Linked DNA regions of Macaca fascicularis. The protein of the gene in region 1 purifies or fractionates together with the protein of each later gene. This does not show direct contact. Links are inferred from orthologs where the notes say so. Each region holds a gene or a part of one and is shown in the gene's direction. Other genes may lie near its edges.

Region 1 (3,752 bases):
AGTTTTTTTGTTTTGTTTTGTGTTTTTTTTTTTGAGACAGAGCCTCACTCTGTCGCCCACGCTGGAGTGCAGTGGTGTGATCTTGGATCACTGCAACCTCCGCCTCCCAGGTTCAAGCAATTGTCTGCCTCAGTCTCCCAAGTAGTTGGGATTACAGGCGCCCACCACCCCGCCCAGCTACTTTTTTGTATTTTTAGTAGAGACGGGGTTTCACCATTTTGGTCAGGCTGGTCTTGAACTCCTGACTTCGTGGATCCACGCGCCTCGGCCTCCCAAAGTTCTGGAATTACAGGCGCGAGCCACTGCGCCCGACCTGGATGAAAGTTTTTCATAGGAAGTCTTGCTCTGTAGCCCCGGCTGGTGTGCAGTGGTGTTATCATAGCTCACTGCAGCCTCAAACTCCCGGGCTCAAGTGATCCTCCAGCCTCAGCCTCCTCAGTAGCTTGGACTACAGCTGCACACAACCATGCCCAGCTAATAGAGATGAGAGTCTCACTATGTTGCCCAGGCTGGTCTCGAACTCCTGGGCTCAAGTGATCCTCTTGCCTGGGCCTCCCAAAATAGAGACTACAGGCGTAAGCCACTGCTCCTGGCCCGAAACAGTGTTTTTAAAGCTTTAAAAAATATGCCAATATGGTGAAAACCCGTCTCTACAAAAATACAAAAAGTAGCCGGGCATGACGGCAGGTGCCTATAATCCCAGCTACTCTGGAGGCTGAGGCAGGAGAATCGCTTGAACCTGGGAGACGGAGGTTGTAGTGAGCCGAGATCGCGCCACTACATGCCAGCCTGGGCGACTGAGGGATACTCCGTCTTAAAAAAAAAAAAAAAAGTTCCCAAGTCTAAAAAAAAAAAAAAAAAAATCAATCTGCTCTCAAAAACTGTTGCAACAATATACAATCTCATCAGCACTAAGTATCCACTTCCTTGCACCCTTCTCAGTAGTATTACCATTAAACAAACAAACAAACAAAATATATATGTGACAGTTTGTTGGGCTCAAAGGAGTCTCTCGACAAGTTTCCTATCCCCCCACGCTGCCTCTCCTCTGAACACAGGAAGGGTTCCTTTTCCTTATTTATTTTGTTATTTCATTTCCATCAACACGACTCGGCTTGGGGACAGGGGTCGGGGGCAGGCCAGTTACCGCAGAGGTGGAGGCCGCGCAGCACCTGGCCTGGAGGAGCTCACCACGCAGCGACATAGACCTCTTCCCTGCTGGTCCACCTGCGAGCCTTGGGGCGATAGAGGGCGCCGTGGAGCCCGCAACGGAACCCGCCCCCAGGGCAGCGCGCCCCGCTCCCGTGACGTATTTCCGCGTCATCTGCCGCCGAGGCTTGCCCCCATTGGTTGTCTGCGAGGCAATAGGGGCGGAGCCGAGTGGGAGTGTGGAAAGCGCCGCATCCCGGGTGGGGGGCGAGGCTTCCCCTTCCCCGCCCCTCCCCCGGCCTCCAGTCCCTCCCAGGGCCGCTTCGCCAAGCTGCTAGGAGCACGGCGGCGGTGGCGGCACTTTCTCCCGCAGGAGCTGGAGCTGGGCTCTGGTGCACGCGCGGCTGGGCCGCCCGAGCCGGAGGGACTGGTTGGTTGGGAGAGCGGGAGGGAATCCCGGGCTGCCGAATCGCACATTCAGCCCGCTCCGCTCCTGCAGGGCAGCCGTTCGGCTCTCTGCGCGCGGAGCCGAGTCCCGGGCGGGTGGGGCGGGGGTCCACTGAGACCGCTACCGGCCCCTCGGCGCTGACGGGACCGCGCGGGGCGCACCCTCTGAGGGCAGCTCCGGGGTTAGCGGCCCGGACCTGGTCCTGCGCAGCGGGCGCGGGGCAGCGCAGTGGGAGGAAGCGAGAGGTGCTGCCCTCCCCCCGGAGTTGGAAGCGCCTTTCCCAGGTCCAAAATGCCCAAGAAGAAGCCGACGCCCATCCAGCTGAACCCGGCCCCCGACGGCTCCGCGGTTAACGGGACCAGCTCTGCGGAGTAAGTATGGGGCGGGCGGTGAACCTCGGGGCCCGGCTGGGGAGGCCCGGGCCGGGGAGCAGGAGCGCGCGCCAGGCTCCGCTCTGGTTTGTCACGTACGTCTGGGACTGGCAGGGGGCGAGGAACTCCCGGCCGCCGAGGTATCGGTGACTAAGCACTGATTGTGCTTCTGACTCAGACCAGTTAGCGGATCCCGCGGGTCTCGATTCCCCTCTGCACCCCTTTTCCCGACCGTTTCAGTGGTTCCTGGCCACTGTGCAGTCTTCTCCCAAGAAAATAAAAGCTAGCACGTCTTCCCTGCCTCCCCCCAGCTCTGTTCTAAATGTGATCCTCTGGGAGTCTGGCCTGTAATGGGGAGAGGAGGCTACTGTTTTGGAAAGAATTAAGATCGCATCCGTGCTTTTGAGACCGGCTCAGGGTATTAAGTGTGGAGCATCATCCTCACCTTCATGCCTGACACCTGTGGGGTCTGAGTGCCTTGTTGCAGGTCAACTGCCTGGCCAGCGGGGGCGTGCTGGAAGTCCGTGTGGACTTCGTGGCTTTTCCTTGCCGACTTTGGAGGTTCCCGGTCCTTGGCTTTCCTGGGAAATTGCTCAAGAAAGCGGCTTTCTTTTTCATCCGACTCTTCATTCATTCATTCATTCATTGAACAAACCATTTTCTCACTAATGATTTCCTAGCTTTCCGTACTTGACTAGGAGCCCCTAAACTCCTGACCTGAGGCATAAACACCATGACCTAGAAACCACATGCTAGGTGCTCCATCTCTGCAGCTTCCAGCGTTGCTCACAAACGAGCACTTTATTTCATGAAATAATCTTGAGGCTGTTTCCTGGGGGTTTCTGAGTTCCCACAACTCTCTTGGGTTCTAGGTAAGGTACAAGACTCTGTGAGGGAAAGCTGCTTGGCTAGCTAGAGAAATAGCCAGAAAAGATTAGGTTATTATTATTATTATTTGCCTTTTTTTAGTTGTTGTTTGCCCAACCTTCAGTAAAGATTAGGTTCTTAATCTCTTTTTACCTGCACACTGCAGGCTTTAGGAAGCTAACTGATGAAATCAGGGTAGGCTTGGACCTTCTGCTCTTTGGTGATTTCTGTAACCTCCCTTCCTTTCTCTAGATTTTTAGAAAATTTTATTTTTTAAAATTTTATACAGATAGGGTCTTGCTATATTGCTTAGGCTGGTCTTGAACTCCTGGGCTCTAGCGATCCTCCCAAAGTGCGGGATTACAGGCATGAGCCACTCTGCCCAGCCAGCTTTCTCTAGATTTTAATAATCTGGGGACCTGTTGGCTTGATGACTTGTTCCATCCTTGTAATGATCACAAGGTCGATGGTGGACCCATGGTGTGTGTTCAACTGTGTTCTTCAGACCTGCTCCCAGCCGACTCTCTTCCTTAGTCCCCTGTCAATCCTGTGGGGTCTATTTTGCATGATACTGACTTGTATAGGTAGTTGGATTGCATTATTGCATTGCAAACATTTTTTTTTTTTTTTTGAGTCGGAGTTTCACTCTTGTTGCCCAGGCTGGAGTGCAGTGGTGCGATCTCAGCTCACTGCAACCTTCGCCTCCCAGGTTCAAGCGATTATCCTGCCTCAGCCTCCTGAGTAGCCACCACGCCCGGCTCATTTTGTATTTTTAGTATTTTTAGTAGAGACTGGATTTCTCCAGGTCATTCAGGCTGGTGGCAAACTCCCAGCCTCAGGTGATCTGCCTGCCTCGGCCTCCGAAAGTGCTGGATTACAGGCGTGAGCCACCGCGCCCGGCCCATTTGTTCAGTTTT
Region 2 (3,652 bases), on another chromosome or scaffold:
ATACCATAACATCTCAGCTGAGATATTACTGCCTCAGAAAGCCTTCCCTGGTCCACTCTCTGTCTGCATCAACCTCCTGTTTTCTAGGTTCTCATATCACTATGAACTTTTTTTTTTTTTTTTTTTTTTTGAGACAGAGTCTTGCTTTGTTGCCCAGGCTGGAGTGCAGTGGCACGATCTCAGCTCACTGCAAGCTCCGCCTCCCGGGTTCATGCCATTCTCCTGCCTCAGCCTCCTGAGTAGCTGGGACTACAGGTGCCCACCACCACGCCCGGCTAATTTTTTTTTTTTTTTTGTATTTTCAGTAGATGAGGTTTCACCGTGTTAGCCAGGATGGTCTCGATCTCCTGACCTCGTGATCTGCCCGCCTCAGCCTCCCAAAGTGTTGGGATTACAGGCGTGAGCCACCATGCCTGGCCCCTATGAACTTTTTAACAATACTTGCCCCCAATTTTAGTTTTACGTTTGTTCTTGTGAGATTATTGATAACACACTCACTTTTTAGATCGGAAGCCACGTGAAGGCAATGATTGTGCTTATTTCTGTTTTTCATAGTATCAAAGTATTAAGTGCCACAAACACCGGCCATTTAATATTTGCATGAATGAAAAAAGAAGAAGGCTCTTTTTTGTCACTGCAGCCATTGCTGATAATCTTTCATGCTTTTGTAAACCATGGACTGATCATTCATTAGCAGTTTTAATGGAGAGTTAGCTTTGTCTTAGATTCTTATTAATAAACCGCATGAATTTATAAATATTATAAACATTTCTATAATAGACATTGATTCCATTTCTGGGAGAATTTTGGGGTCCTGTGGTTTTTCAGAAAATACATGAGAATTATTATGTCTTTGAGGTGTATAGTTTGAGAAAATGAAATATTTTATATTTTAACTTTTTTTATATTTTAACTATTTTCTTTTTCTAGTGTTGAAGGGCTCCATGCCATTGTTGTATCAGATAGAGATGGAGTACCTGTTATTAAAGGTAAAAGTGAACATTTAAATGCAAATATCTTCTTTGCTTTTGACTAAAAATGCGTGTAATTTACATCTGAGTAGTACAGCAGGCAAACATCTAAAATTCATTTTAGTAAATTTTAGGAGATGGTGGTCTTAGTATTGGCGGAAGTGTTTGCTTTTGTATGCTGAAGGTTGAATTTGAATCTACAGTGTATTATATATCAGGTGTATCATGTTAACATCTAGAGTTTAAGCATGGATTTATCACAGACCCATTTCCCGTTGAAGACATTTACAGTGCAATGTAAACCATTAGTAAATCTAAGTGATGAGAGTGAGCATGTAGGCAGCTAGATAAACACACAGACACCCCTACATTACACACACACACACACACACACACACACTTTATCAAATTGCTAGTTGTTTTAGGATAATACCCATGTATTTGAATCATAAGTAAACATGATGTCACAGAGAGTCAGTATGGATTCAGACAATTTTTTACTATTTTTATTTTATGGTATTATGAGCATGGATGTTCCTAGTTTTTTTGGGACACTGTAATGGCTTTATCAAACATTAAAGATTGGATAATGTTCTGTATATTTCGTGTACAATTTTCCACCTGGAGTTGTCATATATGTCAGATAATTTTAGACTTTAGAAATGAACGGAGGTTTAGAAGTCAAGTGATTTAGTTCTTTCATTTTATAAGTGAAGGTAATAAAGTGCAAAGACACTTGGACTTCATTAGCAGTTTCAGTGGAGAGTTAGCTGTGTCTTAGATTCTTATTAATAAACTGCATGAATTTGTAAAGATTATAAACATTTCTATAATAGACATTGATTCCATTTCTGGGAGAATTTTGACAAACACATTATAAGAACATGGAATATCAACAAAGGAGGTCCTGTGGTTTATAATCTTCAAACATTGCAGTCCAAAGTCGGGCGTGAGTCAGTAACAGAACCCATCATCTCCTGATGTGTGGTCCAGTGTGCTTTCTAACTCACTATAAAATGGTCGTTGAATGGTTGTGGACAGATTACTTGCTTTCTCTTAATTCTGTAATGAGGGATTTGAACAAAATAATCTCAGATTTTCCAGTTCTAATGTTCTTCATGAGGATATCTGTGTTAAAGCCTTGAGCCCTGCACTCATTAATACAACAAACTCCATGCAGACCTTTTAATGAGTGAGAGAAACACGAAACAGGTAACTAGCTGCAGATTGCTAATATCTATGAGAGATATTCCTTGCTGTGGGTTTTATAAGAGCAGAAGTTTTGTAACTTTTTTCATTAGTTTATTCTAACCTAGTCCTCAGATAACCAGTTAAATGTGCTTGATTAATCTATGTTTTAAGTTAGATATCAAGAAAAGGTAAACATTTAATTTTCTTTTTAAAATTTAAAAAAATTGTGAGAGTCAGCATTTCTTCTATTGTGATCAGTGAACTTTTGACTGAGCAATTTTTCCTGATTAGTGATGAGACCCCATTAGTGATATGATTTTCAATATTGTGAAACATAACCTTTGTGCTCAGTTTTAAACAGAGGTTTATGAAAAAGGGCTGTAAATCTCTCTATCATATCCTCTGCATAATTTTTATTTAAATCACTTATTTTTCTAGTGGCCAATGACAATGCTCCGGAGCATGCTTTGCGACCTGGTTTCTTATCCACTTTTGCCCTGGCAACAGACCAAGGGAGCAAACTTGGACTTTCAAAAAATAAAAGTATCATCTGTTACTATAACACCTACCAGGTAAGTTCATAATTATCAAATGATTTGCTGATTTCAGTTGTCATTTTTGTACCTTTTATATATAAAATAGTTTGTGTTATAGTTCTCAATTTCAGTTTTGAAGGGGATGAAATTGTAAAATTTTAGCCTTCAAATTGGTTGTGTTAAACGGTAGTAATTTTCTTCACATTTTATACCAGGAAATAATTACGATGGAAAAGTAATTAAGTGACTTAATAAAGTACATGTTATCCTAAAAAGTGTACGTCAGGTCACTGTTATCTCCAGTAGATGGTGCCCTTAGCTAAACAACTGTGATTTCTCAGATGACACACTTTTTTTGTTGTAGTAACAGATAAAAAAAACTTTCCTTGAAAGTTTATTAAATTTGCTCTTGCTACTAATTCCTTCATTTTTTGGAAACATATATATGTAATAAATGAGGTTATTATTTGTGGGAAAGAAGTTAGTTTTTACATGTCTCTTGATCTCAAGCTATATTTTCTTAAGACTGAATTAATTCCTTGTGCTTTAGAGCTATGTTTCCTAATCAATTGATGTTAAGTTACTCTTTTTTTTTTTTTTTTTCTTCCGAGACAGAGTCTGCCTGTGTCGCCCCATGCTGGAGTGCAGTGACATGATCTCATCTCACTGCAACTTCCGCCTCTCAGGTTCAAGAGATTCTCAAGCCTCAGCCTCCCAAGTAGCTGGGATTATAGGCATGTGCTACCAGGCCTGGCCAATTTTTGTATTTTTAGTAGAGATGGGCTATCACCATGTTGGCCAGGCTGGTCTTGAACTCCTGGCCTCAAGTGATCCCATCCACTTCAGCCTCCCAAAGTGCTAGGATTACAGACGTGAGCCACCATGCCAGGCCCATCTTTTATTTTAAAAGTTACATATTTTAATGTGTATTAGGTAAAACATAACCAAACCATC

The links. The genes of interacting proteins can lie anywhere in the genome.
Region 2: the proteins of MAP2K1 (region 1) and LAMTOR3 purify together in Homo sapiens (affinity purification with western blotting; 3 studies listed by BioGRID, with this or other methods). This does not show direct contact. The link is inferred for Macaca fascicularis from reciprocal best matches to the Homo sapiens genes MAP2K1 and LAMTOR3.

Annotation. Positions count from the first base shown.
Region 1 is NC_088381.1:43,043,500-43,047,251, forward strand, and holds the start of MAP2K1 (dual specificity mitogen-activated protein kinase kinase 1), read left to right. Parts: upstream 1-1,435; 5' UTR 1,436-1,888; coding exon 1,889-1,968; intron 1,969-3,752. UniProt on the Homo sapiens protein: Dual specificity protein kinase which acts as an essential component of the MAP kinase signal transduction pathway.
Region 2 is NC_088379.1:105,526,540-105,530,191, reverse strand, and holds part of LAMTOR3 (ragulator complex protein LAMTOR3), read left to right. Parts: intron 1-930; coding exon 931-989; intron 990-2,600; coding exon 2,601-2,734; intron 2,735-3,652. UniProt on the Homo sapiens protein: As part of the Ragulator complex it is involved in amino acid sensing and activation of mTORC1, a signaling complex promoting cell growth in response to growth factors, energy levels, and amino acids.